Linked DNA regions of Lonchura striata. The protein of the gene in region 1 purifies or fractionates together with the protein of each later gene. This does not show direct contact. Links are inferred from orthologs where the notes say so. Each region holds a gene or a part of one and is shown in the gene's direction. Other genes may lie near its edges.

Region 1 (7,372 bases):
GTGGGGGTGGGTTTCCCAGACTCGGCATTTTTAGGGTTTTTGATTTTCGCTCGCAGCGTGGAAGAAATCTGAAGAACAAAAAACAAAATCCACCTCGGGATGGCTGTGGGGTTTCCCGGACTCGGTGTTTTTAGGGTTTGTGATTTTTTTTTTTGCTCGTGGCGTGGAGATTTGGAAAAAAAAAAAAAATCAACGTTTTCTCCATCCTGGGACGGCAGGAAAAATTGAATTTCTGGACTTGGAATTTTCGGGTTCTTCGCTTGATTGGAGCCGTTACAAACCCAGCGAGGAGGGGGCGGCGGGGGCTCCAGCACTGCCAGACCCCTCGGGGGTCCCCCCAAATCTGCCGAGCTCCCTCTCCTCGCCCCCTCTGGAATTCTGGAATTCCCCCCGGGCATCCCCCACCTCCTCCCACTCTGCTTCCTCCACCCTTGCTGTTGCTTCCCAGACACTCGTGATCGTGGATCTGTATTTTATTTTCTTTTGTACTTCAATTTTTTTTGTTTTTTTTTTTTTTTGGACCTTTTCTCATTTTTACTCCCCCTTTTTATTCGATTTTTTTTCCAAGTACCGTAGGCAGGCGCCTCTGGCCTGGGTCCGTGGGACTCGTTGGGAATTTAATTTATTTGCGTTTCTTTTGGGTTATTTTTTACCATTTTTCTCCTCCGGTGTCGGTCCCGGCAGATCCGGCGGGAGGCAGGGATTGAAGTGATCAATAAACAGAATTCTGGTTGCTTTATCCCCGCTTTGGGGGCCTCCTCCTGCACCCCAAAACCCTCCCCGTGTCGGGGGGCTCGGTTTTGGGGTAAAAATGGGTGAGTTTGGGGCTGTCCTCCCCATCCTGGGGCATCTGGGGATCGATAAATGTCACTCCAGGGAGGGAATGGGGGTGACGGAGGGTCTGGGGGCTCCGAAGCCCCCCAGATGTGCCCCCCAAAAAGGATGAACTTGTCCCCACCCCTAAAAGAGCTGGGACCAGAGTGGGGTCCCCACTTCTGCTGCCCTTAAAAAGATGAGAGAATAGAGGGGGGTCCCTGCTGCTGTCACCCCAAAAAGAGCTGGGATCGGGTCTGGGGGGTCCCCACTGCTCCCACCCCAAAAAGAGACGAGATTAGGGGGGGTCCGCATTGTTCCCACCCCAAAAAGAGCTGGGACTGGGTCTGGGGGGTCCCCATTGTTCCCACCCCAAAAAGAGCTGAGATTAGGGGGGGTCCCCATTGTTCCCACCCCTAAAAGAGCCGGGACCGGAGTGGGGTCCCCACTTCTGCCCTTAAAAGATCAGAGAATAGAGGGGTGTTCCTGCTGCTGTCACCCCAAAAAGAGCCGGGATTAGAGGGGTTCTCACTGTTTCCAACCCTAAAAGAGCTGGGATTGGGTTTTGGGGGGTTCTTGCTGCTCCCACCCCAAAAAGAGATGGGACTGAGACTGGGGGGTTCCTGCTGCTCCTGACCCTAAAGGAGCTGGGATTAGGGGGGTTCCCATTGTTCCCACCCCAAAAAGAGCTGGGACTGGGTCTTGGGGGGGTTCCCCACTGTTCCCACCCCAAAAAGAGACGAGATTAGGGGGGGTCCCCATTGTTCCCACCCCAAAAAGTTGGGACTGGGTCTGGGGGGTCCCCACTACTCCCACCCCAAAAAGAGCCGGGATTAGGGGGGGTCCCCATTGTTCCCACCCCAAAAAGAACTGAGATTAGGGGGGTCCCCATTGTTCCCACCCCAAAAAGAGCTGAGATTAGGGGGGTCCCCATTGTTCCCACCCCAAAAAGAGCCGGGACTGGGTCTGGGGGGTCCCTGCTGCTCCCACCCCTAAAGGACCCAAAAAGGAACTAATCCTAAAGGATTAGAGGGGGTTCCCCAATGTTCCCACCCCTTAAAGACCCGGTACCGAGGCGTGGGGACTCTCTGATCCTCCCGCCGTTAACGGAGCCGGTACCGGAGGGAGAGCACGTGTTGTTACCGCTGCTGCCGCCGTTAAGGACCGGTAACCGAGCGAGGATCCCTATGGTTACCCCCGTTAGAGGAGCCAGGACCTGTGGGGGGATCGGTGCTGTTGCCGCCGTTACAGGAGCCGGTACCGGGGATTGGGGGATCTGTGTGTTCCTGCCGTTAAAGGAACCGGTACCGGGGATTGGGGGATCTGTGTGTTCCTGCCGTTAAAGGAACCGGTACCGGGGATTGGGGGATCTGTGTGTTCCTGCCGTTAAAGGAACCGGTACCGGGGATTGGGGGATCTGTGTGTTCCTGCCGTTAAAGGAACCGGTACCGGGGATTGGGGGATCTGTGTGTTCCTGCCGTTAAAGGAACCGGTACCGGGGATTGGGGGATCTGTGTGTTCCTGCCGTTAAAGGAACCGGTACCGGGGATTGGGGGATCTGTGTGTTCCTGCCGTTAAAGGAACCGGTACCGGGGATTGGGGGATCGGTGCTGTTCCTGCCGTTAAAGGAGCCGGTACCGGGGATTGGGGGATCGGTGCTGTTGCCGCCGTTAAAGGAGCCGGTACCGGAGGCTGAGGCTGTGTCTTCCCCGCTGTTCCCGCCGTTAGGGGAGCCACTAGGGAGGGCGGAAGGCTCCGTGCCGCTCCCGCCGTTAAAAGAGCCGGTACCGGGGCAGCTGCCACGTGTGTTCGCCGGCAGCAAAAGCGAGCGCGGCGTCACGGACAGGATTCGAACCTGTGCGGGGAAACCCCATTGGATTTCGAGTCCAACGCCTTAACCACTCGGCCACCGTGACTCTGGCGCCTCCGTCCGCCGCGCTCCGCATAGACCCGGGCCCGCCGCCGCTCCCGGCCCGCCCCCGCCCGGTGCCCGGTGCCCGGTGCCCGGTGCTCGGTGCCCGGTGCTCGGTGCCCGGCTTGGTCTCGGTGCCCGGCTTGGTGCTCAATGCCCGGTGCTCGGTGCTCGGTGCTCGGTGCCCGGCTTGGTCTCGGTGCCCAGCTTGGTGCTCAATGCCCGGTGCTCAGTGCTCGGTGCCCGGTGCCTGGCTTGGTGCTTAGTGCCCGGTGCCCGGTGCCTAGTGCCCGGTACCCGGTGCCCGGTGCCCGGCTTGGTGCCTAGTGCCCGGTGCTCAGTGCCCGGTTGTTGGTGCCCGGTGCTCGCTGCCCAGTGCTCGGTGCTCCGCTTGGTACTTAGCGCCCGGTGCTCAGTGGCCGGCTTGGTGCTCGGTGCCTGGTGCTCAATGCCCGGTGCCTGGCTTGGTGCTTAGTGCCCGGTGCCTGGTGCTCGGTGCCCGGTGCTCGGTACCCGGCTTGGTGCTCAGTGCCCGGTGCTCGGAGCCCGGTGCCTGGTGCTCGGTGCCTGATGCTCGGAGCCCGGTGCTCGGTGCCGTCCGGGGGCTCCCTCCGGACGCCCTCCCCCATCCCAGGCTGCTCCAAACCCCGTCCAACCCGGCCTGGAACGCTCCCGGGGCTGTCCCGGGAAATCCATCCCAGCCCTTCCCAGGGCGGAATTTCCTCCCCGAATCCCGTCCGAGCCCGATCTCCTCTCGTTTAAACCCATTTCTCCTTGTCGTGCCTCTCTTGTCGCACCCGCGGGCGGCGGGGCCGGGAACGGCGCCCGGGATCGGAAACAGCGCCCGGCACCGGGAACAGCGCCCGGGACCGGGAACGGCGCCCGAGGGCAGCGGGACCAACAACGGGCGGTGGAGCGGGGGCTCGGGGCCGGAGCAGCGCCCGGGACCGGGAACGGCGCCCGGGACCGGGAACGGCGCCCGGGGGCAGCGGGACCAACAACGGGCGGTGGAGCGGGGGCTCGGGGCCGGGAACGGCGCCCGGGACCGGGAACGGCGCCCGAGGGCAGCGGGACCAGCAGCGGGCGGTGGAGCGGGGGCTCGGGGCCGGGAACGGCGCCCGGGACCGGGAACGGCGCCTGAGGAACAGCGGGAACGGCGGGAACGGGACCAGCAGGAGGCGGTGGCGGGCGCAGCGGGACCGGTGGCGGGCGGTAGAACGGGGGCGGCGGGGCCGGGAATAACGATCGAGGTCGGGAACAACGATCGGGGGTGGCGGTGCGGGAGCGGGACCAGCGACCGGGACCGGAACCACCGGGCGGGAGCGGGACCAGCGACCGGCACCGGCAAGACCGGGCGGGAGAGGCGGAGGCGGCAGTGCCGGAGCGGCACCGCCAGGGGGCGGCAGCGGGGGCGGCGGGAGCGGCAGTGCGGGAACGGGAGGGCACCAAGGCGGGCGGCGGGGATGTAACAGCGACCGGGATCGGGGACAGCGACCGGGAACGGGGACAGCGGGATCGGGGACAGCGGGATCGGGGACAGGGACCGGGATCGGGGACAGGGACCGGGAACGGGGACAGGGACCGGGAACGGGGACAGCGAGCGGCGGGCGCGGCAGTGGCGGCGCGGCGCCGGCAGGGGGCGGCAGCGGCGGGCGCAGGCGGCGGCGCGGCCCGGCCCGCTCAAGATGGCGGTGCGGAAGAAGGACGGCGGCCCCAACGTCAAGTACTACGAGGCCTCGGACACCGTCAGCCAGTTCGACAACGTGCGGCTGTGGCTGGGCAAGAACTACAAGAAGGTAGGTCCGCGGGAACCGCGGGGCCGCCCTCCGGCCCGCCGGGCCCGGCCTGTCACGGCGCCGCCGCCGCCGCCATCGCGCCCCCCCCACCCCGCCCCGCTCCCCTCAGCGGCCGCGGCGGCCGCGCTGAGCCCCGGCCCCGCTGAGCCCCGGCCCCGCAGTACATCCAGGCCGAGCCCCCCACCAACAAGTCGCTGTCGAGCCTGGTGGTGCAGCTGCTGCAGTTCCAGGAGGAGGTGTTCGGGAAGCACGTCAGCAACGCGCCCCTCACCAAGCTGCCGGTGAGAGCCGCGGGGGGACGCGGGGACACCGCGGCCGGGACACGCGGGGAGCGGGGGACGAGGCCCTGAGCAGGGACGGGGCCCCGGAGGTGCGGGCATGGACGCTCGTGGTGCCCGGGTGAAGAGCCCCGGAGAACGGGGGACAAAGCCCAGGCTGGGCAGAACGCCTCAATGAGGTGGGGACAGAGCCCAGGCTGGGGAGAGTGCCTTAAAGATGTGGGGACAGCATCCCTCAGAGCTGGGGACATGGCTCTGGTGAGCAGGGACAGAGCCCAGAGACCTGGGGACGGCACCCCGGTGAGATGGGGAAGAGCCCCGAGGAACAGGGGACAGAGCCCAGGATGGGGAGAACGCCTCAGAAATGTGGGGTCAGCATCCCTCAGAGCTGGGGACATGGCTCTGGTGAGCAGGGACAAGGCTCAGAGCAGGGACAGAGCCCAGAGACCTGGGGACGGCACCCCGGTGAGATGAGGAAGAGTCCCGAAGAAGAGGGCACAAAGCCCAGGTTGGGGAGAGTGCCTTCAAGATGTGGGGACAGCATCCCTCAGAGCGGGGGACATGGCCCTGGTGAGCGGGGACAAGGCTCTGAGCAGGGACAGAGCCCCAAAAGTGCAGGGATGACCCTGGGATGGGGTCCTGGAGGGACCTGGGGGGAGAACCAAAGAAGAGGGGACAAAGCCCAGGTTGGGGAGAACACCTCAGAGATGTGGGGACAGCATCCCTCAGAGCGGGGGACATGGCTCTGGTGAGCGGGGACAGAGCCCAGAGACCTGGGGACGGCTCCCCAGTGAGATGGGGAAGAGCCCCGAGGAACGGGGGACAAAGCCCAGGTTGGGGAGAACGCCTTAAAGATGTGGGGACAGCATCCTTCAGAGCGGGGGACATGGCTCTGGTGAGCGGGGACAGAGCCCAGAGACCTGGGGATGGCACCCCAGTGAGCTGGGGAAGAGCCCCAAAGAAGAGGGCACAAAGCCCAGGTTGGGCAGAACGCCTCAATGAGGTGGGGACAGAGCCCAGGTTGGGGAGAACGCCTCAGAAATGTGGGGACAGCATCCCTCAGAGCTAGGGACATGGCTCTGGTGAGCGGGGACAAGGCTCTGAGCAGGGACAGAGCCCAAAGACCTGGGGACGGCACCCCGGTGAGATGAGGAAGAGTCCCAAAGAATGGGGGACAAAGCCCAGGTTGGGGAGAACGCCTCAGAGATGTGGGGACAGAGCCCAGGTTGGGGAGAGTGCCTTAAAGATGTGGGGACAGCATCCCTCAGAGCGGGGGACATGGCCCTGGTGAGCAGGGACAGAGCCCAGAGACCTGGGGATGGCACCCCGGTGAGCTGGGGAAGAGCCCCGAAGAAGAGGGCACAAAGCCCAGGATGGGGAGAACGCCTCAATGAGGTGGGGACAGAGCCCAGGTTGGAGAGAGTGCCTTAAAGATGTGGAGACAGCATCCCTCAGAGCTGGGGACATGGCCCTGGTGAGCGGGGACAAGGCTCTGAGCAGGGACAGAGCCCCAAAAGTGCAGGGATGACCCTGGGATGGGGTCCTGGAGGAACCCAGGGGGGAGAACCAAAGAAGAGGGGACAGAGCCCAGGTTGGGGAAAGCACCCCAATATCCAGGGAAGGCATCCCAGTACTCAGGATGTCCCCTCAATGCCCAGGGACAGAGCCCTGGTGCCTGGGGACAGGGCCCTGCTGAGCAGGGACAAGACCCTGAGCAGGGACAGAGCCCAAAGCCTCGGGGACAGCACCCCAAAATCGCAGGGACAGAGCCCAAAGACCTGGGGACAGCACCCCAGTGCCCAGGGACAGAGCCCAAAGACCTGGGGACAGCACCCCAAAATCCCAGGGACAGAGCCTTGGGGATTTGGGGACCCAGGGATTTGGGGACCCCAGGGATTTGGGGACCCAGGGATTTTTTGACCCTGATGAGCAGGGACAGTGCCCTCAAGGCCTGGGGACAGACCCCAATGACCCTGGGATGAGGCCCCAGTGCCCCACATGCAGCAACCCAAAAACCTGGGGACAAAGCTGAGTGGGAATGGGGCCCCAGAGCCCCCCAAAAAAGCTCCAAAGAACAGGGGACAAGGCTCTGAGTGGGGACAGCACCCCAATACCCAGGGACAGCATCTGAGTGCTCAGGAACAGAACCCCAGGACTTGGGGACAGCACCCAGGGACAGGGTGACAAGGCCTAAATGGGCACAGCATCCCAAAAATGCAGAAGCAGCACCCCAAACCTTGGGGCAGAGCCCCAGTGAAAAGGGGACAAGGACAATGATGACCAGGGACAGGGTCCTGAGCAGGGACAGTGCCCCAGAGACGGGGACAGCCCTGGGGCCGTGTCCCCAAAGACCTGGGGACACAGCTCTGAGCAGGGACAGCACCCCAATACCTGGGGACACGACCCTGAGCAGGGACAGCACCCAAAGCCTCAGGGACACGGCCCTGGTGACACCGTTCAGCATTTGGTGGCTCGGGGACAGCAGCTGACCATGGACAGCGGCCAGTGACAGTGCCCTGGTCAGGGACATGGCCTGGAGTGCTGGGGACAGTGCCGGGGACCCTGGGACACCA
Region 2 (6,997 bases), on another chromosome or scaffold:
TCCTTGCAAAGAGTCATTGTCAGCAGCCTCAAAAGGAATAGAACCACTGTCTTCCAACCGTGAACCTCTGTTTCCTTTCTCAGTATGCACAATACAAATAAAAATAATTTAGAGGGTTTTTTTTTTCCTTAATGTTGACATCTCTCTCGAATTGAGGGGGAAAGAAAAGGTCTTAAGAATATGAAGGTCTCTGGGCCGAACTGCTCAGTGCTTCCGACTCAGAGGAAGTCTTGGTGGAATTGCTAGGGTGTGGGAGTACCTACTCATTAGGATTAAAGTGCCCTTGTGGTTTTCATTAATCCACTTTGGGATGCAAAGTGACAACAGCATCTTTGTGGGGGATCCATCCGTGTGGGGAGCCTGGTCCCCCCTCTGCCCTGCCAAACCCAGAGCTGCCCCGTGGGAGCCTGGTGGCTCTCCTGTTTAAATCGACAGGGTTTAAGTCCCGCTGGTTTAAATATCAGGTTTAACTGGGGCTTGCCTGCATATCAAAGGCACTATGGTAATTTTTATGAGGGAAAGTGCGGAGGGAAAGTGTTTGCCTGGTGCTGTCCAGGCTCCTCCCTGCTCCCTGCTCAGCGCGGTGCTGAGTCACTGCCCTTCCTCACCAGGAGCCTGCACCCTCCTGGTGCTGTGTTTGTGCAGGATGGGCTCAGCACCCCAGCCTGGGGGAGCCCCTGCAGAAACAAGAGCTAAAAATGAACAAAAAGCCTTCCTGATTCGCTGGTATTTATTTACGTGCTGCCGTGCGTGGTGGGCTCCACTCTGGCACCTGGATTGTGTGTGGACTGGGCTTGAACTTTTCTGGAGCCAGCCATCTGCTTCCTGCTGGTGTGTTGGTGCCTCGCTGCGCCTTCAGTCTCGCTCCAATCTGCACAAGATTTATGGATGGATATTATATAGATTTAACACAATAGCATGGGTTTTATTATTTGCTGGAAAATGTTAATAAACCCCAAGTATTACAGATGCATTTTAATCCCTGAAGTGATTTTTGAGTAGAATGCATGAATTATTAATTGTTGTTATTGTTATTATTGCAGTGCATACCTACCTCACAGGGCATTGTGAGGATTAATTAATTCTTGTAAAGATGTAAAAGGCCGTATAGGTGTCAAGGGTTATGACTAAAGTGCTTTGAAAATGGAAACCACTCTGCAAGTGCCAAGTATTATTATTTATGGAGTCCAGGCAGTGTGCTTGGTGCTGTGCAAACACTGGGCCAGTTATTGCAAATATTTGCTTATATGTGCTTGGTAGGCCGAGCACTCCCTGTTACAAGTCATTTCAACTATTTTAAGGATGCGTCTTAAAAATATGGGCATGAGAAGACTTTCCAGTCATTGGGATGATGGATCCACTGGCTGCGAGCAGCTGTGTCACTGAAGAACTTCAGAAAGCGTGCTTTTATTCAAACACACAAGTGAACCGAGACCTCGGATCTGCTCCAGTTATACATCTGAAAGTTAGGGTTTTGTCCAATCTTTCTTGCTGCTTTGGGAAGTGTAACAAGAGTTATTGTTTAGAAGTGGCTCTCCCAGAGGGCAAAGCCAACTCCCTGAGCTCAGCTCGCTCACTGAACAATCTGCTGTAAACCACAACCTGCTCAACTGCCCCGTGTTGCCCAACATCCGTTCTTGGAAACCTCTGAAAGGGAGAGCCTCCTTCCCATACGCTCTGGAAGTGTCCCCTGTAGCCCTGAATCCAGCTGCACATTTGGGCAAGAGAACTGCAAAGGCTAAAGCTCATAACAGACAGTGAGAGGCGTTTGTGCAGTCCTGCGGGGTGTTTGCCTTCGTGAAACAAGGGAAACCAGAACAAAACAGATGAGGGATGACTATTAAAAGCACAAATCCACCAGAATTCACTTTGTAGATTCTGCAGAACAGAACTTCTCGGGAAATTGCCCAGTTGAGCACATCACCATGTTAAAAAAGAGAGCCTGGCACCCCAGAGCCGCGACCGAACATTTGGAGAACACCAGACCACGGAAACCTTCAGCCAGATGACTTCAGCTCAGCACGTTGTCGCTGCTCGGCAGATGGATGGGAAGACAGTGTTTGTAGTTCCTGAGGGCCAAACAACGCACACTTCAGGGATTTTCCCTCCCCCGTTTCTCACACAAGCTTTCTGAATGTCACACCTCTCATTCCCATTTCATGGACTTCTCAGATATCCTTCTCTAGGCCCCTGCTGTCCCCCAGTCCCCCAGAAGAATTCCCTTTCCTCTTGCCTTAGGCTATGTGCATATTCCCATTTCCCTTCCTCCACACACTGTTACTGCTTATCTTCTTTCACCTGGGAAATAAATCAGAGTATCAGAAGGTCCAACTCCATTAGAAGCACGGACAGATCTAAGATTATAATGTGTGAATGTGTTAATGAGTGCATTGCCACTTTTCCTTTCCCTCTTAAATTTCTTGACTTTCAGCAAATTTTGGAGCTAGACTGGATATAGTGTTCAAAACTATTGCCTCTTTACATACCTGAAGCAGACAGCCTCCACACCATTAGTGAGAAGAGAAAGTTGCTCACTTGGGACACCAAAGTCATTACACAAATAAATGCTGGACACCAAGATTTGCAATTACAAATGTGCTTCCTGGCTTCCTAGAGAGATTTATGTTTCTCTACATGACTTTGGCCTGTATTTAAATATTTTTCTTCAGAAAGGAAGGAAAAACGCATGGGTTTGACCCTGAAGAAAATGAGTACTATAAGAGGATTCTACACCCAGAGACCTACCCAAAGCTTTGTGGAGTGGATGGACTCCATCTGCTTGTGTAATGATGCTCAGGTAGGCAAAATCTGCCTATGGTATATCCCAGGTGTTAGACTGAAGGTAAAATCCAGAACTGGTGCCTTAGGACTAGCATAATTCTCTGGCAATGGTCTATTCACAAAAAAAAAAAAAAGAAAAAAAAAAAAAAAAGAAGACGAAAGAAAAAAGACACTACATTCATGACCAGCTCTTTATGCAGTGCCAGCTGCAGCGAAATCAAGCTCTGAAATTGAGTGTGGTGATGTGGAGATGTGGACACCCTGTTTGAGCAGCACCAGAGCTGGGCTGGCGTGTGTGGAGCTGGGATAACATCGGATGTTTCCATCGGATCTGTGCAGGGTTTGTGGTCACTGGGACTCTGCACGGGTGCCAATGTCCGGACATGAGAGTGCTGGACCGTCGCCCAAGAGCGTGAAATGCTCTTGCAAAACCATTTTAAGATGGAAAGGGCTGCCTGGTGACGAATGTGGTTTTGATTAACAAAGCTCGCTTTCAAAAACAAACAATGCGGCCCTATAGATGACAAACAGCATTTCAATTGTAAAAATGAGCAGCACCCAGGTAGGCCATTGCGTTAGTGCTGCGGAGGATTATTTTCATGAAAGGAGAGGGCAGAGGCGGTAGCGCGGTGCCCACACGGGGCTGGACCCCGGTGCCAGGTGCCATCGCCAACCGCGACGGGCCGCGAGAGGCAAAACCACCATGTTACATCCTGCATTTACATAAGCCCTGTCGGCAGCGCAGTTTAACGTCTTTCCCAGAAAAAGCTCCGCGGCCTGGGCCCGCCGTGCCCGGCCGCCTCCCTCCGCACGGCCGGGGAAGGCGGCGGCCCGCGGGCTCCCGTCCGAGCCCCGCGCCGGGCTCCTGCGGCCGGCCCGGCCGCTCCTCCTCGCCTGGCCTCGCCTCCCGAGGCTCGCCGCTTCCCTTCCTCCTTCCTTCCCTCCCTTCCCTCCCTTCCCTTCCCTCCGCCGGCGCCCATTTCGGCGCGGCCGGGCACCCGGAGTGTCTGCGGGCCGCCGGCTGCTCCGCGCCGCTTGGCTCCTTCCCCCAGTAACAGCTCCCACATTCCGCCCCGATCCCTCCTCAATCTCAATCACACACACACATATTACTTTTTTTTTTTTTTTTCCCCTCCTTCCTCGGGACTTAATCTCCAGTCCCCCCCCACCCGCCCTCCCCACCCTCCCCTCCCCCGGCCCCTGGCTCGGATATAATTGAATATCACAGCGCTACGCGCTGGGTATTTTTTTTCCTTCCTCCTCCTGTGTGTGTGTGGTGGTTTTGTTGGTTTTTTTTTTCCTGGTGTTTTTTTTTTTCTCCTCCTCCTCCTCTCGGTGTGGACACCTTAAAAATACATATATATATGTGTGTGTATATATATAAATATAATCGATAACTATACGCGTGTACACACACACACGCTCACACTGGCAGGGATGTGCGCGTATATACACGCGGCGGTATAAAACACACGGGAGGAGGAGAGACAATCCAGGGTGAATTCCTCGTGCCTCCGTTCCCTGGGAAAGGGGGAGCAGCCGCTCGCAAGGTAAGAACCGGGGGGCTCCGAGCCCCGGGGGCGGGCAGGGGCCGGGGATGGGGTGGGGGCGGCCGCCCTGTTTGTGTCCGTGCGGGCGGGAGGGGGACGGGGCTCCTCTGGACCCCCCGTTGTTATTAGTATGTGTATATATACATGCATAGATAGATATGCAGACACATTTATGTATATATACACATATTCACCCCTCCCCCACCCCGCGCCGCTGGCTTCCCCTCCCCCACCCGCCTTCATTTTTTTTTAAAAAAAAAAAGAAGAAAAGGTTTAATGGAGCGGGGGATGGGGGGGACACCGGCCTCGGCAGCGAATGGCACACGGGAGCCATGGCGAGAGGCCTATTTTTAGCCCGATTTGTGGGGAAGAGCGGCTTCCCCTCCCCCCCTTCCCGCATATTTACTTGGGGGGAGGGGAAGGGGGGAGGGCCCGGTCGGGATGGGGGAGGGGAGGCCCTTCCCCTCCCCCGCTCCCCGGAGTTCTCCCCCATCCCGACTCCCCGTTGCTGGGGAGGGGATACACCCCCACCCCCGGGCCATTCCCGATGTTCACCCCCCCAGAGCCAAGTTATTGATCAGTTTTCCGGCGGAATTCGGGCTGGAACATGCGGTGCCCCGCGGTGGCAGGGAGCGGGCCCGCTTCGGGGCATAAAATAAGCTTTTATTCTCCCATTTCACAGCGTCTCTCCTTGCCAGGGCTTATCCCCGTCCGAAACCCTGGTGTAAATTGTGTCTTGCATCAGTTAGAGGGGCTCGCACGGTTGATGCAGTGTGTACTGTTTTATTGGTGGAGGATTTAAGTCCTGAAATATGTGGCTTGTTATTGTTGTACCCTCGAAAGGGTTAAAATTTATCGTGTTGTTCCAGGTGAATTTAATCTTTCATCACCGAATTTCCTTTTAAGGCAGCTTGACAGAATAAAAGTCTCTCCCTCGCTTGTCTTTATCCCCAGAACAGCAAAACTTTGTCTGTGCTTTATGGCAGGGGCTGGTTGCTGCAGATGACACGTGAGTCTGGAGGAAAGTTTGGTTTGTAGGTCGCTGTGTAGGAAAGTGAAGTTTGCTGGTGAAGTTTTTACTACTCTCCAGTGTGCTCGACTTCCTCGTTTTCCTGTCTGTGTAAATCAAATTCCTAACTGATTTATGGGGGAGGGGATCACAAAACATATTCCTTCCTTATTGTTAAGGCATGGGAGGCATGATCAGGAGAAACAGGTCTTTGTTGCATAAAAAAAAGAGTTTTGTAGGCTTGTCTGACTTGCTTTGCTCTCCTTCTGTGCTAAAATAAATGTCTGAGCACGTTGTGTGCTTTAAAAAGGTTCTTTACTGTTGATGGTCTCTGCCCTTTGGGTGTTGTGCGTTGTGCTCCTTTAGCATCAAGGGCACCATATGCAAAGTTGGTATTTGGGGTTTGGTTGTACCTGGGCTTTGGGGCAGTTTCCAGCCTTCTTCCTGCTCTGAGTAACCTGAAGGCTTGTCCACGTGAGGCTCACATTGTATTTGGGGCCTTCCTTTGGACATGTGTGTTAAAGGGCTTTTTGGAATATGTTCCAAATGAGGACTGGACTGCAAGCTCCCGTGTGTGTCCTTAAATTTAAGTGAGTGGGTATGTGCTTGTGGATGAGCTCTGAAGGGGTTTTTGTCCTTATCCATTGGAAAAAGGGGCTGGGATGGTGCTTAGGCCACAGGTGGTGCCCTGTAATTGATTGAAACAAACTTTCTGTGGTTTTCTCTAGTGTTTTTTCCCCCTTTGGTTTTGTTTAAGGTTTAATGGAATGATAACATTTTGTATTATTTACCTAAGGTCACCTGAGCCACTGCACTGTTGCTATCTTAAGGTTTCTTGGGGGAAGTTGGATTTTTCTCCATGAGAACTGTGTTTTCTGGTACTCTATCTTGGGAGCTTGGTGGCCTGCCTCCCAAACTGTTATTGGGAACACCTGGAGAGCACTTAGCTCTCATTCCTTGAGGAAAAGAGAAGGAAATGTAATTTAAATGTATGAGAAGGGTTGGGGTTTGGCTTTTGGGCTTTATAATTTATTTTTAAGACTTTGCAAGAGTGTATAGTTTTTGTTTGTTTGAACATGCACAGCCAGAATGTGTGTTTGTAGCATAAAGAACACAATAATTACAGAAGATTCTGTTGCTTAAGCTTTTTTTCCTCTTTCAAACAGGTAGTTAAAACTTTTTTTCTTGTGAGTTTCTTTTTAAATATGAATACTTCTTTCAGTTTTACTCTATATATGGTAATTATTGATGTTTGTGTAATGCTTTGAAGTTGTAAGGCAGGGTATAAGCGCTAAGTACCCAACAGCAATACTTCATAGTCATTTTCCCATCATGAAAGAGTTTGATCCTTAAAAGTGCTAGAGCCCTAGGCATAAAGAGGCTCTGGACGGATTAGGGGAAATGGCCAAAATTGCTGATAATGTTGTTTTAAGTTAGGAAGAACAGATCTGAATAACGTAAAGCAAACTGAGTTATTTTACCTAACTTCATTTTGGTCTGGAATTTAATAGAATGTGGACTTCACATTTGAGTCAGAATGTGTTTGCTGTTATAAGTTTTGTAGTGGCAGTAAAGACCCACATCCTACAAGGATGTAATCGTGCAGAAGTCAGGAAGTCTTGTAAAACACACAGCTTTGTGAACATCAGTGGTCTCG
Region 3 (7,461 bases), on another chromosome or scaffold:
CTCAGATCCCAGCTCAGATCCCAGCTCTGACTACAGCTCATATTCCAGCTCTGATCCCAGCTCAGATTCTGGCTCTGATTCCAGCTTGGATTCCAGCTCAGATCCCAGTTCTGATCCCAGCTCAGATCCCAGCTCAGATCCCAGTTCTGATTCCAGCTCAGATCCCAGCTCGGATCCCAGCTCAGATCCCAGCTCGGATCCCAGCTCAGATCCCAGCTCAGATCCCAGCTCAGATCCCAGCTCGGATTCCAGCTCAGATCCCAGTTCTGATTCCAGCTCGGATTCCAGCTCAGATCCCAGCTCAGATTCCAGCTCGGATTCCAGCTCAGATCCCAGCTCAGATCCCAGCTCGGATCCCAGCTCGGATTCCAGTTCTGATTCCAGCTCAGATCCCAGCTCAGATCCCAGCTCAGATCCCAACTCAGATCCCAGCTCAGATCCCAACTCAGATCCCAGTTCTGATTCCAGCTCAGATCCCAGCTCAGATCCCAGCTCAGATTCTGGCTCTGATTCCAGCTCAGATCCCAGCTCAGATCCCAGCTCAGATCCCAGTTCTGATTCCAGCTCAGATCCCAGCTCAGATCCCAGCTCAGATTCTGGCTCTGATTCCAGCTCAGATCCCAGCTCAGATCCCAGCTCAGATCCCAGCTCAGATCCCAGCTCAGATCCCAGCTCAGATCCCAGCTCGGATCCCAGCTCGGATTCCAGCTCGGATCCCAGCTCAGATTCCAGCTCAGATTCCAGCTCAGATCCCAGCTCAGATCCCAGCTCAGATCCCAGCTCAGATCCCAGCTCGGATCCCAGCTCGGATTCCAGCTCGGATCCCAGCTCAGATTCCAGCTCAGATTCCAGCTCAGATCCCAGCTCAGATCCCAGTTCTGATCCCAGCTCAGATCCCAGCTCGGATTCCAGCTCAGATCCCAGCTCGGATCCCAGCTCGGATTCCAGCTTGGATTCCAGCTCATTTTCCGCCTTTCCTCTCGCCGGGTGAGGGTTCGCCCTCAGGGCAGAACCCCCGAGCTCTCCTCAGTGCCAGAGCTGACCACTGGAAACGCGACCCCGTGTCCGTCGGACCCCGCGGGATGAATTCCTCTTTTGGGATGAATTCCCAAAGATTCCGGCCAGGAGGATTTGGGGGCGCAGCGGGGTTTGTTCTGAACCGTCACGGCGCCGTCACTTCAACTCCTGCTCCGTGAAATCCTTTGGAAATCCCAGACGGGGCAATCTCCCCCGGGAGATCTCGCCAAAACTCCCCGTGGAGAAGCCAAAAGTCCCCGTGGAGGAGCAGGGCTCTTGTTTTAGGAACTCAATCCACGGAGGGGCCAAAAAACCCCTCTGGGGCCGGCAGGAGCGGGGCTGGGCTGGGAATCCTCGAGGAGACGCAAAACCAACCCAAAATCCCGATCCGGGCCGACGGATCCGCCGCCGACTGTTTGGGAGCGGCGGGAACGGGGAATTCCAGCTGGATTTTGGGGAATGGGACAAAAACCCAGCTGGACACGCTGCCGGTGACTTCGCGGGGCCTCCTTGCCCAGGCTCCTGTCACAAATTCCATCTTTTCCCGATTCCGGGGAGTTTGAGCCCAGAATGAGGCCGGGATCCCCCCAGGGCAGAGTCGGGCCCCTCCTGACCAGCGAGTCTAATTTAGATTATCTGACTAATGACTCATTAGATTCTCCTTAACGAACCCTTGTCCCGCCTCTTCCTTCCCCTCCCCCTCTGCGTCGGTAAACCGCTTTTGGTGCAAACACCCAGAATTTGGGGATAAACCTATTTCCCAACGTTTTCGTCTGTAAAATAATTAGCAGACCGAGGTTGATTGGGCTCGATCAGGTTTAATTTCTATTTGGTCCAACTCTTCCCTGCTCTGAACTCTTTTCTCCCCCCACACTCTGTCCACATTTTATTTATTTTGGGATTTTTCCTCGCCAAATCAATTCCAGCCGTTTCAGAGCCTCGTTTGCGATTAATTAACCCTCGGGACATTTGTGATTAATTAACCCCAGAGATTGGGATGGGAAGGTGGCTCCAGACACGCCACAGCTGCCACTCGGACCAACGTGAAGGGAAGCCAGCCCAGCACGGCTCATTTTGGGTGGATTTCTGTGGTTTGGGGGTTTTCCAGCGCGAGCTGGGCTGGGACAATGTGGATGGACTTTTTTTCCTGGATTTCACCCCAGTTTTCCTGGCTTCCACCTTAATCAGTGATTTGAAGATGGAGCTGTTTGTGCCCCACCTCGGCCCAGGAATTGCGAAACCGTCGCTGCCGGAGCGGTTTCGAAATAATCAAAATCAGCCAAAATCCCCTTTTTTCCTGTTTTGTCCCTTTTGTGTCCCGGTTTTTTCCCTTCCACAACCCAGGGCTGACTTTTGGGGTGCTCCAGCTTTAATCTGGGATCTCGTTCACTCGTTTCTGTTCTCTCTGCTCCAGTCCTGGAAAAGCTCCTTTAATTTATCAAATTTGGGGTTTTTTTAACCTTGAAAAGGTGATTTTGCTTTTCTCCCCCCCTCCCCTCCTTTCTCTCTTCCCTCCCTCCCACACCCCCCAGACCAACTTGCTATAAACCCCTGAAATTATCCCCAAAATTAGTGTTATTATCCCTGAAATGTTTTTTTTCCCTCAATCTCATCTCCTGAAAAAAAAAAAAAAAACAAATTCCTTAATTAACTTTTAATTAATGAATAAATCATTTGGGATCCCTTTCCACAGAATTGGAGCCTCCTTCACTTCTCCCCTAATTAATCACTCCCCGAATTAATGATTTATGCAAACCACAGCTGCTGATTTGCTCCCAATTCCAAGAATTTGAGTCATCCGGAGCAGCCCTGACTCAGCTCCCCCTCCCTTTTTGGAGAATAACTCCGGATTCAATCAAGGATGGAATCGTTCATTAACCCCAGCAGGGGCACAGGCCTCCCTCCCAATTTCCTCGTTATCCCGGGATTTCCGCTGGATTAACGCCGCCCACGCCAGCGGTCAGTGCCTGACCCCCGGCGTGGCCGGAGCCGGGAACGGAGCCGGAGCAACAGCCGGCCTGGGATTACCAGGAGGAGGAGGAGGAGGAGGAGGAAGGTTTGACCAGGGGGTGACCTTGGGGGAGAAACGCAAATTCCCAGCAAACAGGGAAAAAAAAACCCAGGTAGGATGTGGAAATAAGGAGGAAAAAGAGAGAGGAATTCACCTGGAAATAAATGGGGAATTCACCTGGAATTGAGGCACTCACTTGGAATGTGGAATTCACCTGGAAATAAATGAGGAATTCACCTGGAAAGGAAAACTCACCTGGAAGCTGCCATCAAACCACGCTCGCCGTGGGGTCTGTGGGTGACCTCGGTCCTGAGGGATGAATTTGGGGACACTTGGTTAATTCAGGTTGGAGAAAAAGGGAAAAGAGCTCAACAATGGGAACTTTTGGCAGGAGTTTTTGGGGATGAGGAGCCGTAAGGAATCTGGGGGGATCTGAGGGATCCATCCTCACTTATCCCTCATTTCCCCTCTCCCAGCTGTTCATCCCTCATTTCATTCCCCCATCCCCAATTTATCCCTCATTTCCCCTCTCCCAGCTGTTCATCCCTCATTTCATTCCCCCATCCCCAATTTATCCCTCATTTCCCTCCCAACCCTCACCCCTCTTTCCATGTTATCCCTTCCTTCCTCCATCCCTCCCCATCCTCCCTCTTCTCACCCCATTCCATGGAAAAGCTGAGAAAACCTTTGGGATCATCAAAATCCAACCCGGCCACCCCTGAACAGCGTCCCCATGTGCCACATCCCGGCTTTTTTTGGGATAACCCCAGGGTGGGACAACCCTTTCCAGGGACTTTCCTGAACAAACCTCCCCTGACACAACTCGGGGCTGTTCCTTTTGTTTTATCCATGGGGAGAAGGGATCTCACCCCCAGCCCCATTCCAGGGAATCTAGGGAGCAGTGCGGTCTCTCAAATCTCCTTTTTCCACGATAAACCCCCTCATCCTCTGCCATCATTTCCGCCCTCACTTTCTGTCCATTTTTGCCTCACTCTCGTGCTTTGTTCTCTCCCATTTTTCCCCTCAGTCTCCCCCCGTATCCCCCACTCTGCCTCCCACCCTCATCCCCACGCCCTCCCTTCCTCCCCGTACCTTCAGCCGCCCCTTTTTCCCGGATTTTCTCCTTTTTCGTGCATTTTCCCCCCTCAGATCCTTTTCCCGCCATTTTTCCCCTCAGGCTTTCGCCCCTCCCCCACTCCCCCTTTTCCCGCCTTTTCTCGCGCCCCCCCCCCCGCGCACGCGCGCGGCGCACAGCGCCCCCCAGCGGCCGGGAGGACTCCGCGCTCCCTTCCCCCGGCCCTCCCTCTCCCTCCCTCCGCCTCCCCTTTCCCCACCCTCCCTCTCCCCGCTCCTCCTCCTCCTCCCTCCATCCCTCTCCTTCCTCCTCCTCCTCCTCCTCCTCCTCCTCCATCATCCCCCTCCCCGCCCCTCCCGCCCCTCCCTCCGCGCACGCGCCCCGCGGCGCCCCGGCGGCGGAGCCAAGATGGCGGCGGTGGTTCAGAATGTGGTCAAGCTGTGAGTGCGGCTCCCCCCCCTCCCCGCACACCGCCGGTCTCCCCCCCGCGGCGCGGGAATGGTGCGGCCCGGCCGGGCGCGGGAAGCGGGGCCCCCCCTTGGCCCCGCGCGCGCCGGACGGGACCAAGCGGGCGGGCAGGGGGGTGGGGAGGAAGCGACACGCGCGCATTGTTCGCCGTGAACTTTGCTGAGGGGGGCGTTGAGGACACCCCAAAATCCTCCCCCGGCACCGGGAGGGCCGCAGAGGTGTGAGGGGAGAGCAGAGCCTGCGAGGGTCCCGAGGGGCCGGGGGGGTCCCGCAGTCTGGCCCTGAGGGGGTCCTGGAGAGGGCAAAGGCGGGGGTTCGCCCCTGGAAAATTCCCTGGATCGTATCCCTGTGCTTCCCTGTGCTCCCTCGTGTGGCCCTAAACTCCGTCTGCGAGCGTCCTGGAGAGGCCAAGGACGGGGGAGTCATCCCAGCGCATCCCTGGAGAGTCCCTGTGCCTCCTTCAGTATCCCTGAATATCCCTGAATGTCCCTGTACCTTCCTGCTTTTTCCTGCACTGCTTCCCAGCGCATCCCTGGAGAGTCCCTGTGCCTCCTTCAATATCCCTGAATATCCCTGAATATCCCCGAATATCCCTGAATGTCCCTGTACCTTCCTGCTTTTTCCTGCACTGCTTCCCTGTGCACCCCTGGAGAGTCCTTGTGCCTCCTTCAATATTCCTGAATATCCCTGAATGTCCCTGAATATCCCTGAATGTCCCTGTACCTTCCTGCTTTTTCCTGCACTGCTTGAATATCCCTGTACCTTCCTGCTTATTCCTGCACTGCTTCCCTGTGCATCCCTGCCAGAGGGTCCTGTGGAGGCCGAGCTGGGGGGAGCTTCCCTGTACTTCCCTCGAAATCCTTGTATTTCCCTCAAAATCCCTGTATCTCCCTCGAAATCCCTGCATTTCCCTGTATATTCCTGTGCTTCCTTCTAATTCCCTGTATTGCTCTCTAAATCCCTGTATTTCCCTGTGTATTGCTGTATTTACCTTTAAATCCCTGTATTTCCTGTAAATCCCCGTATTTCCTGTAAATCCCTGTGTTTTCCTGTCCATCCCTTGGCTTCATCTCTTCCCTTCCCGCCCCTGTGAGAGTGTCCTGAAGAAGCCAAGGAATGGGAAATTGGAAACTTTATTCCGGAGGATTTCCACGTTTATTCCTGATATTCTCCAGGATTTTGTCCCTGAGGGTTTCCAGGTTTATCCCTGATATTCTCCAGGATTTTATCCCCGAGTCTCTCCGTTTGTATCCCTGACACTCCCCTGGTATCCCTGACATCCCTGAGAGGTTCCCCATTCCCTGTACCCGTCCCTGCCAATCCCGGTGCCAATCCCTGCCATTCCTTGTGCCAATCCTTCCCATTCCCTGCGCCATTCCCTGTACCCATCCCTGCCATTCCCCGTCCCATTCCCTGTGCCGTTCCCCGTGCCCATGCCGCCTTTCCCGGTGCCGATCCCGGCGTTCCCAGCACTGATCCCTACCAATCCCCGTGCCATTGCCTTTGCCAATCCCTCCCATTCCCTGTGCCATTCCCTGTGCCCATCCCGGCATTCCCCGTGCCCATCCCTGCCATTCCCTGTGCCAGTCCCAGCATTCCCGGTGCCGATCCCAACACTCCCAGCACTGATCCCTGCCATTCCCAGTGCCTATCCTGGCATTCCCCATGCCCATCCCTGCCATTCCCAGTGCCCATCCTGGCATTCCCGGTGCCAATCCCGGCACTCTCAGCACTGATCCCTGCCATTCCCTTTGCCCATCCCTGCCATTCCCTTTGCCCATCCCGGCATTCCCCGTGCCCATCCCTGCCATTCCCTGTGCCCATCCCTGCCATTCCCAGCACCAATCCCGCCGTTCCCTGTGCCCATCCCTGCCATTCCCAGCACCAATCCCGCCATTCCCTGTGCCCATCCCTGCCATTCCCAGCACCAATCCCGCCGTTCCCTGTGCCCATCCCTGACATTCCCAGCGCCCATCCCTGCCATTCCCCGTGCCCATCCCGCCGTTCCCTGTGCCCATCCCTGACATTCCCAGCGCCAATCCCGCCGTTCCCAGCGCCCATCCCGCCGTTCCCGGTGCCCATCCCGCTGTTCCCTGTGCCCATCCCTGCCATTCCCAGCGCCCATCCCTGCCATTCCCAGCGCCAATCCCGCTGTTCCCAGCGCCAATCCCGCCGTTCCCACCACCAATCCCTGCCATTCCCTGTGCCCATCCCTGCCATTCCCAGCGCCCATCCCGCCATTCCCAGCGCCCATCCCGCCGTTCCCTGTGCCCATCCCGCCGTTCCCAGCGCCAATCCCGCCGTTCCCGGCGCCAACGCCGCCGTGCCGCGGTGCCGTTGCAGGCTGGGCGAGCAGTACTACCGGGACGCCATGGAGCAGTGCCACAGCTACAACGCGCGGCTCTGCGCCGAGCGCAGCGTGCGCCTGCCCTTCCTGGACTCGCAGACCGGCGTGGCCCAGAGCAACTGCTACATCTGGATGGAGAAACGGCACCGCGGGCCCGGTACGGCGGGGAAACGGCGGGGAAACGGCGGGGAAACGGTGATGGGAAATGGCGGGGAAGTGATGGGAAACAGTGGGGAAGTGATGGGAGAATGGTGAGGAAGTGATGGGAAACGGCAGGGAAGTGATGGGAAACAGTGGGGAAGTGATGGGAGAATGGTGAGGAAGTGATGGGAAACGGCAGGGAAGTGATGGGAAACAGTGGGGAAGTGATGGGGAACAGTGGGGAAGTGATGGGAGAATGGTGGGGAAGTGATGGGAGAATGGTGGGGAAACGGCGGGGAAGTGATGGGAAATGGCAGGGAAATGATAGAGAACAATGAGGAAATGATGGGGAACAATGGTGAAATGATGGGGAAACAACAGGGAAATTATGGGGAAATGATG
Region 4 (7,137 bases), on another chromosome or scaffold:
AGCTTCACCTTCACTGCGACTTCTGGGGACTTCCCAAAGAAGCACAAGGCTCCTGTCATTAACATAGGGATTGCAGAGACAGGTATGGAAATGAGCTGCTCACCTCTCCAGATAAGCTTTTATTTCCTTGTGAAGCTGCTTGATTCAAAGTGTTGGAGTTTTTGGCATTCTCGGGGCTGTGTACAGCATCAGTACTAAACTCTGTACTAAACTCTGTAGTCTATTAGGGATTTTTTTACTTAATTTGCTACCAACTGAACCAAAAGGTGTTGTTTTCACACCAATAATATCCCTGTAACCAGCTCCTTGATATGCACAGTTTCTTAATTTACATTTTCAGAGATGCTGTTGCAAAGAGGTCTGGCCTCAATATTGAGAGGATTGCTGTTCTCTGGGCTGCCAGTCTCTCTTTAACCAGTGAGAAATCTCTCTAGTGAGTTAATATGGTCTACCTTGAGCTTCTGGGATCATCTAGAACAGAGGTGGGGGTGGGTGGGTGGAAATTACATTTTAGTGGTGAGGGCTTGATGGATTAATGTGTCAGGTATGTGCCAGTGGCAGTTGGGAGCAGGTGGATGTGAATTCACCTCTGTAATAGGAGGTCAGGTAAAATATTAACTGAAACTGGGGGTGTGAAAGTGAAAACTTAAACCTGCAACAAGTAGCTGGAAGGTAAACAGGCAACTCCCTGCCTGGGCTGAAGTGGCAAAGGGGAAATGGGAACAAGCAGGAGTCCAGTATGGGCACAACCAGCAATAATGGATCGTGGTCTGTGGATCATGGTTGTGACTGGGATTCAGTTGCCTGCCTGCAATCCATAGCTTGAAAGGTGCTTATCCTCAAGCTGATTTTGGGCATGCAGATCAGGTGAAGTGTTTGTTCCTGTATGTGGCACAGCCCAGTGGGGCTGCACATGGGGCTCCCAGCTCTGCTTGTGGGGCTCAGAGTCCTGAGTATAGGGCACACATGGGCTCAGTGCCTGCTGCCTGCTTGGGAGCCAGGGGACTACTCAGGCATAACCAGGAGCTGAGTCTTCTGATACTGCTCTTTACTCTGTCCTAGGAGACTGACACTCCTTGGATTTTGGTGCTGCTGGTGGTTTTCTCCAGCTGCAGGGAGAGGTTATCCTGGGGCTTCATTGAGTCTGTGGCAGTGTTAGGTCTGGGGGCTCTCCTGAACTTTGCCTTTTTTTCCCCAGGGAAGTTTATCATGACAGCTTCCAGTGACACAACCATCCTGATCTGGAGCCCAAAGGGCAAAGTCCTGGCCAGCATTAACACCAACCAGATGAACAATGCCTATGCCACAGTGTCACCCTGTGGGAGGTGAGTGACAGGCAGGATTCCAGGCTACTCTTTTGCACAGCATAGCATCAGTTCAGACCATTGGCAGTTAATTGTTATTGCAATGCAGTTTTCTGAGGGTTCCACAGTTTAAAAAGATATCTTGGCCCTCCAGGAGATGGAGCTGATGTGGGGTCAGGCACTCTTGTGTTGCTATTCTGCCTCAGCACTGCTGTTTTGGTAACCTGAGAGCAGCTTTGGTCTCAGGTAGCAGGGGTGGGACAGAGCAAATGCCCTCTGCAAAGAAAACAGCATTTTGAACTTGTCTGTGACCTCTTAAAGGTTAATTATAAAAATAAAGATTATTTTCCTGGGAAATCTGTTAATTGGGAAAATCACTTGCTGCTGTAGCTGGATTTGCCTTGCTCCTGGCATGAGGAGTTTGGGGATCCATAGCATTTAGCTCTTCTACTTTGACCGAAGAGTTTCTCATTCCTGAGTTGTTCTGGTACCCTTCCTTAGTGTTCCCTTTACCAGCTAGGTTTCAGAGAAAAGTGGAAATTCAGCTTGAGTGCAGGAGTCAGGATGGATTTGCAGAACTGTGGCCCTGCCTTGCTCAGGTTCTCTCTAAGAGGCAACCTGTGTCTCTGCTTCTGTTCCTTCACACAGGTTTGTGGCATCCTGTGGCTTTACCCCTGATGTGAAAGTGTGGGAAGTGTATTTTAGTAAGAACGGAGACTTCAGGGAGGTGACCAGGGCTTTTGAGTTGAAAGGCCACACTGCTGGTGTACAATCCTTTTCCTTCTCCAATGACTCAAGAAGGTATGTGTGTTACCTGCTCCGAGTTACCCTAACAACATGTAAGCTCATCTCTTCCAGGGTTCACCAGCTGCATCACTAAACTGCAGGGGGTAAAACACTACCCTGGGGAGCCAAATCTAGCTCATGCCACCTATGTATTCCCTGCTCATAGGAATCTCATGTGGTTTAACAAGACCAAGTGCTGATGCTGCACCTGGATCAGGGCAACCCCCGGTATCAATCCAGGCTGGGGATGAACAGACTGAGAGCAGCCTGGGAGTGCTGGTAGGTGAGAGATGGACATGACCCAGCCCAGAAACAGCACATGGGTAACAAAGGAGAGGGAAATTCTGCCCCTGTGCCCCACTCATGTGAGACCCCACTCGCAGAGCTGCCTCCAGCTCTGGGGTCTTAGCACAGGAAGGACACGGGGCTGCTGGAGTGAGTCTAGAGGAGACACCAACATGATCAGAGGGATTGAGCAGGTCTGGTATGAGGAAAGGTGGAGAGAATTGGAATTGCTGAGCCTAGAAAATAGAAGGTTTCAGGTTATGTAATTGTGGCTTTCTAGGACCTGAAGGGAACTGACAAGAAAGATGAGACAGTATTTACAGGGGCCTGAAGTGACAAGATAAGGGGGAATTGTTTCAGACTGATGGAGAGTGGGTTAGGTGGGACATTAGGAAGAAAGCCTTGGTTGTGAGGGTGGTGAGGCCCTGGCACAGGTTGCCCAGAAAAGATGTGGCTGCCCCATCCCTGGAAGTGTTTGAGGCTGTATTGGAAGGAGCTTGGAGCAGCCTGGTCTAGTAGTAGGTTTTTTGCTTTGGAAAGAGAACAGAGACTGTATCTGTGTATTGACTCACCCTTCCCAAGAGATCTCTCTCCACAGGATTCCTGGTTCATGGGCAGGGCAGGGTAAGAGGTGCCACCCTTTTTCCACACACTCACCGTGATCTCTTTTGGCTGCAGGATGGCAACCGTGTCAAAGGATGGCACATGGAAGTTCTGGGACACAGATGTGGAGTACAAGAAGCAGCAGGACCCATATCTGCTTCTGACAGGGCAGTGTGCAGTGCCGGAGCCATGCCGCATTGCCCTGTCCCCTGACAGCCGCACGGTCGCCGTGGCGGGCGGCACAGACATCGTGGTGTACAACACACGGCACGGTGAGGAGGAGGAGCATTTTCTTGGCGTGCACAGCCACTGTGTCACAGACCTTGTGTTTGACACCACCGGCCGCTATATCGTGTCCTGTGGGGATCGTGCTATCCATGTCTTCCACAACGCTGCTGGGCATCGTGCTGTGGTGGAGGAGATGGAGGCCATGCTGAAAAAAACTGGCAACAAAGCCATGCAGGAGAGGCTGGAGCAGCAGATCTCCAGCGCTCACAAAGCATTGGCTGCTATCTATGGCAAGAAGTACTAAGCTACCTGTACAGCAGGAGGCAACTGCACTCTCCCTTGGGGGTGTTATTTTTTTTTAAATAACTGTGAACAGCAATAATAAACAGAGTGCCCAGGTTCTTCCTTGCGTGCTCTGTGATGGCAAGACAGGGCTGGGGACAGTGGCATCTCCTAGTGTCACATTCATGTGTTGTTTTCCCCTCAGGGCTTAGATCATCAGTATCCCATGGAATTGATTGCTAAGGCAATGCCTATGAGTTCTCCTGAGCTTAGAATTGGGAGTTGCGTGCATTTGGGGTAGGTTTTATGGTTAGTTGTTTCGTTTGTTTTTTTTTTTCCAAGAGAACTGACAAAGTTCAGTGTTGATACTGAACGGTAGGGATTCAGCTGCAGGGAACGGGGCAGTGCTGTAACGGTGCAGCGGACTCGGGGTGGCCCCGTTCCCTCGGCCCGGGATCTCGGGGGAATCGAGCAGCGGGACGTGCCCCACGGGAAACCACCGCTGCACCGCCGCTTCCCGCGCGCGTCGTTTCCGCGCCCGCTGTCAGACGCGTGCGTCTGCGCAGGCGCAGCAGCCGGGGCGTGTCGGGCGCGGTGACGCAGGAGGCGCAGCGCGCGGGCGGGCCAGGCAGTGCGCGTGCGCGGGGCCGGGTGCGCCGGCGGGTGCGGCGGGGCCGGTGCTGCGGGGCTGCGCGCGCCATGTCGGGGCGCTCGGTGCGGGCCGAGACCCGCAGCCGCGCCAAAGATGACATCAAGAAGGTGATGGCGGCCATCGAGCGCGTCCGCAGATGGTGAGGGCGGGCCCGCGGGGGGGGGAGGGGGAGGGCCGCGCCGCCCGCGCGCGGCCAATCGCCGCGCCGCGGGGTGCGACTCGGAAGTGCGCGCCCAACCAGCGGGTGCGGGCGGAGGGGCGGTGGCCAATGGGGTCGGGGCGGGGACGGAAGCGGCTGTGATGGGCTTTGAGTGCAGCCAATGGCAGTGCGGTGGGCGGGGCAGCCCGCCCGGTGCGGAACTGACGGCGCTCCGGACCAACCGGAAGGTGGCGGGGGGCGGGGCTTGTTGCCATGGTGCCCCGGCCCGGCCCGGCCCCCTCGTGTCTCGCAGGGAGAAGAAATGGGTGACGGTGGGTGACACGTCCCTGCGGATATTCAAGTGGGTGCCAGTGGCGGACAGTAAGGAGGTGGGTACCGCGCGCGGAGACGAGCCAGGAGCCACCGCCCACAGCCAGCCTAGCTCCCTTAACTTCAGCTGAGCTCCGAGCCTTCCCCAGCCCTACCGACCACCGAGCCATCCCTGAGCCTCCCGATTCCGCCGAACGCCGCCAAACCCCCCTGAGTCCCCTCCAGGTCGATCCCTGAGCCCTCTCCAAGCCAGCACCTGAGGCCCCGCTGAGCCCTCCCAGCCCTGCTGAGGACCTTTGAGGCCCCACCGAGCCCCTCCTGTCCTATTGTGATCCTCCCAGCGCCCCCAAGCCCCTGATCCCCCCCCAAGCTGACCCCGAACCCCACCAAGTCCCTGTCGAGCCTTCTTGGGCCCCCCTCCCAGCCCCAACAGGCCCCTTCAGCCAACCTGAGCATCCCCTGAACTGTCAAGCCCCCTGAGCTCCCTTGAGCCCCCTCCTGCTTCCCTTAAGACTCTTTGCTTGACTCCTCCAAGGATTTGCTTTACTCAGTGTCATTCCTAGATGGGCGTCTGCTCCTCCTCTCTTTTCCTGCTTTCCAGTCCCTTCATAGATGGAGTTTTTTCCTCTCACTTAGGAATGTGCCCCCAAAGGCAAGGGAAAAAGGCCAGCTTGAGCACATCTCTCTGGGCTTCTGGAGACAGAAAGGGGAATGGCTCCTCTGGAGCAGCATGTGTTTCTCTGACATTGTGTTTGTGCTTTTCTTTCTCTCCTTAAGAAAGAGAAATCCAAATCAAGTAGCAGCACGGCCCGAGAACCCAATGGCTTCCCAGCTGACACCTCTGCCAACTCCTCCCTCCTTCTGGAGTTCCAAGGTGGGTCTGGCTGAGCTCCCTTCAGCATGGGGAAAGACTCCAAGGCTGTACAGCAGCTGGGACATTGCTGGTTCTCTGTGCTGCCTGTATGGAGAAGAGCAGTGCTTGCCTCTGAGCACTGGTGTGGACTAGAGAGCTATGAAGTTGAGCTGTGGAGTTGGGCTGATCCACTTCTGGATTGTTTCTGTCTAAACTGTTCCTTTTTGCTGTTAGAGATTCTTAATGGGCTGTTTCTGGACTCTTTTGTGGGAAGCTTCACAGCTGACTAGAGGAGTGGGGTTTCCTGATCACCCCTTTCCATTCTCTGCTTGGGAGAGTCCAGTAGCCACCTGTAGCCAAGATTGCTTTTCCAACAGTTATTTCCATGGACCTTAGGGTGAAGGGGCAATGGCTCTCCGTGGCCTTGCTCTTGGTCTAGGCACTGTGGTGCAGCCAGGAGAGGCTCTGGCAGAGCAAGACTCACTGCTGAAATAGAATGTACACATCTCCCCAACCCCTTCTCTGTGTGTGGCTAAGGAAAATCAGGAATTTGCTGGCACTTCAGGAGATGTGGTGGGGTTATGTTGCAGATCTGCAGTTTGGCAAGGTGTGTGTCAGGCCTGCTTTCTCATGGGAGACAGGTGCTGAGTATTAATCCTTGTGTTGCTTCACAGAGAAGGAGCAAAACCCTAATACAGAGCAGGAGATTCCTGCTCTTTGGATGCCCAGGGCCCTCCCAAGCTGCAGATGTGGAATTTGGCAGTTCTCATTCCCAGGGCAGGAACATTCCCTTTGCCATGGCCAGTTATGTATATGATTCCCACTGTGTTCTGGAGGACTCAGTCCTGTGCCTGACAGCCCTTAGGCTGACGGGGAACAGTGAATCCCCTGGTTAACTCTCTGACCATGCTCTGCCATCTCAGCAGGACCTTGGGCTGCCTGTGCCGCTGTGTCAAGGTGCTCTTCTTCACCAGGTGCTGTTTCTGCAGATGAGAACAGCAACCAGAGCTCCTTGTCTGATGTATACCAGCTCAAGGTGGACAGCAGCCCCAACTCCAGCCCCAGTCCTCAGCAGAGTGAGTCTATGAGTCCTGCCCACACGTCTGACTTCCGTACGGATGACTCGCAGCCTCCTACCCTGGGGCAGGAGACCCTGGAAGGTGGGTGCTGGGCCAAGAAGGGAGCAGGCAGATGGGTGGGCTCAGGGAAGGCCACTCCAGGGCTGTTGCAGGTCTGGTGGGTGGCCTTGGCGCTTCTGGAAGCTACCAGGGCATCGGGGACTTCTGTAGCTAGGTGTTCTATCCTGGTTCAGCACTGAGCTGGGTGCTGGCTCTGCATTTTTGTTGACCCACCTGTTCTCCCCAGAGCCCTCCCTGCCTTCCTCAGAAGTGGCAGATGAGCCTCCCACTCTCACAAAGGAAGAGCCAGTCCCTCTTGAGACTCAGGTAAGGGAAGGGGGATTGAAGCCATCTCTAAATGTGCTTGGACCCAGACTGGCCCTTTGACCATTGTTGCTACTTCTTGTAGCTGAAGCATCTTGGTGGATGGACTTGCTCTGCAGTCCCAAAGTGCCCCCTGGGAGCTCCCAGAACCTCCTGGTTTTCTGAGCTTTGGTCTTTATCCCCTGGTTCAGATCAAGTGTTGAAGTGTGAGGGAAGGATATGGGGGTGTGCGA

Evidence for each region.
Region 2: the proteins of SMARCC2 (region 1) and TBL1XR1 fractionate together in Homo sapiens (co-fractionation; 3 studies listed by BioGRID, with this or other methods). This does not show direct contact. The link is inferred for Lonchura striata from reciprocal best matches to the Homo sapiens genes SMARCC2 and TBL1XR1.
Region 3: the proteins of SMARCC2 (region 1) and DPF2 purify together in Homo sapiens (affinity purification with mass spectrometry; 8 studies listed by BioGRID and IntAct, counting the BioPlex papers as one, with this or other methods). This does not show direct contact. The link is inferred for Lonchura striata from reciprocal best matches to the Homo sapiens genes SMARCC2 and DPF2.
Region 4: the proteins of SMARCC2 (region 1) and BCL7B purify together in Homo sapiens (affinity purification with mass spectrometry; 3 studies listed by BioGRID and IntAct, counting the BioPlex papers as one, with this or other methods). This does not show direct contact. The link is inferred for Lonchura striata from reciprocal best matches to the Homo sapiens genes SMARCC2 and BCL7B.

Annotation. Positions count from the first base shown.
Region 1 is NC_134629.1:5,444,163-5,451,534, reverse strand, and holds the start of SMARCC2 (SWI/SNF complex subunit SMARCC2), read left to right. Parts: upstream 1-4,362; 5' UTR 4,363-4,410; coding exon 4,411-4,521; intron 4,522-4,682; coding exon 4,683-4,802; intron 4,803-7,372. UniProt on the Homo sapiens protein: Involved in transcriptional activation and repression of select genes by chromatin remodeling (alteration of DNA-nucleosome topology).
Region 2 is NC_134612.1:20,899,126-20,906,122, forward strand, and holds the start of TBL1XR1 (F-box-like/WD repeat-containing protein TBL1XR1), read left to right. Parts: upstream 1-3,982; 5' UTR 3,983-4,331; intron 4,332-5,282; exon of another isoform or gene 5,283-5,340; intron 5,341-6,997. UniProt on the Homo sapiens protein: F-box-like protein involved in the recruitment of the ubiquitin/19S proteasome complex to nuclear receptor-regulated transcription units. Plays an essential role in transcription activation mediated by nuclear receptors.
Region 3 is NC_134638.1:227,612-235,072, forward strand, and holds the start of DPF2 (zinc finger protein ubi-d4), read left to right. Parts: upstream 1-4,446; 5' UTR 4,447-4,511; coding exon 4,512-4,543; intron 4,544-6,914; coding exon 6,915-7,075; intron 7,076-7,461. Other genes in the region: uncharacterized protein LOC110478861, read left to right, coding at 1-991. UniProt on the Homo sapiens protein: Plays an active role in transcriptional regulation by binding modified histones H3 and H4. Is a negative regulator of myeloid differentiation of hematopoietic progenitor cells. Might also have a role in the development and maturation of lymphoid cells.
Region 4 is NC_134622.1:786,578-793,714, reverse strand, and holds the start of BCL7B (B-cell CLL/lymphoma 7 protein family member B), read left to right. Parts: upstream 1-4,137; 5' UTR 4,138-4,187; coding exon 4,188-4,279; intron 4,280-4,592; coding exon 4,593-4,668; intron 4,669-5,386; coding exon 5,387-5,483; intron 5,484-6,385; coding exon 6,386-6,622; intron 6,623-6,827; coding exon 6,828-6,907; intron 6,908-7,137. Other genes in the region: TBL2 (transducin beta-like protein 2), read left to right, coding at 1-82, 1,199-1,325, 1,953-2,105, 3,054-3,510. UniProt on the Homo sapiens protein: Positive regulator of apoptosis. Plays a role in the Wnt signaling pathway, negatively regulating the expression of Wnt signaling components CTNNB1 and HMGA1.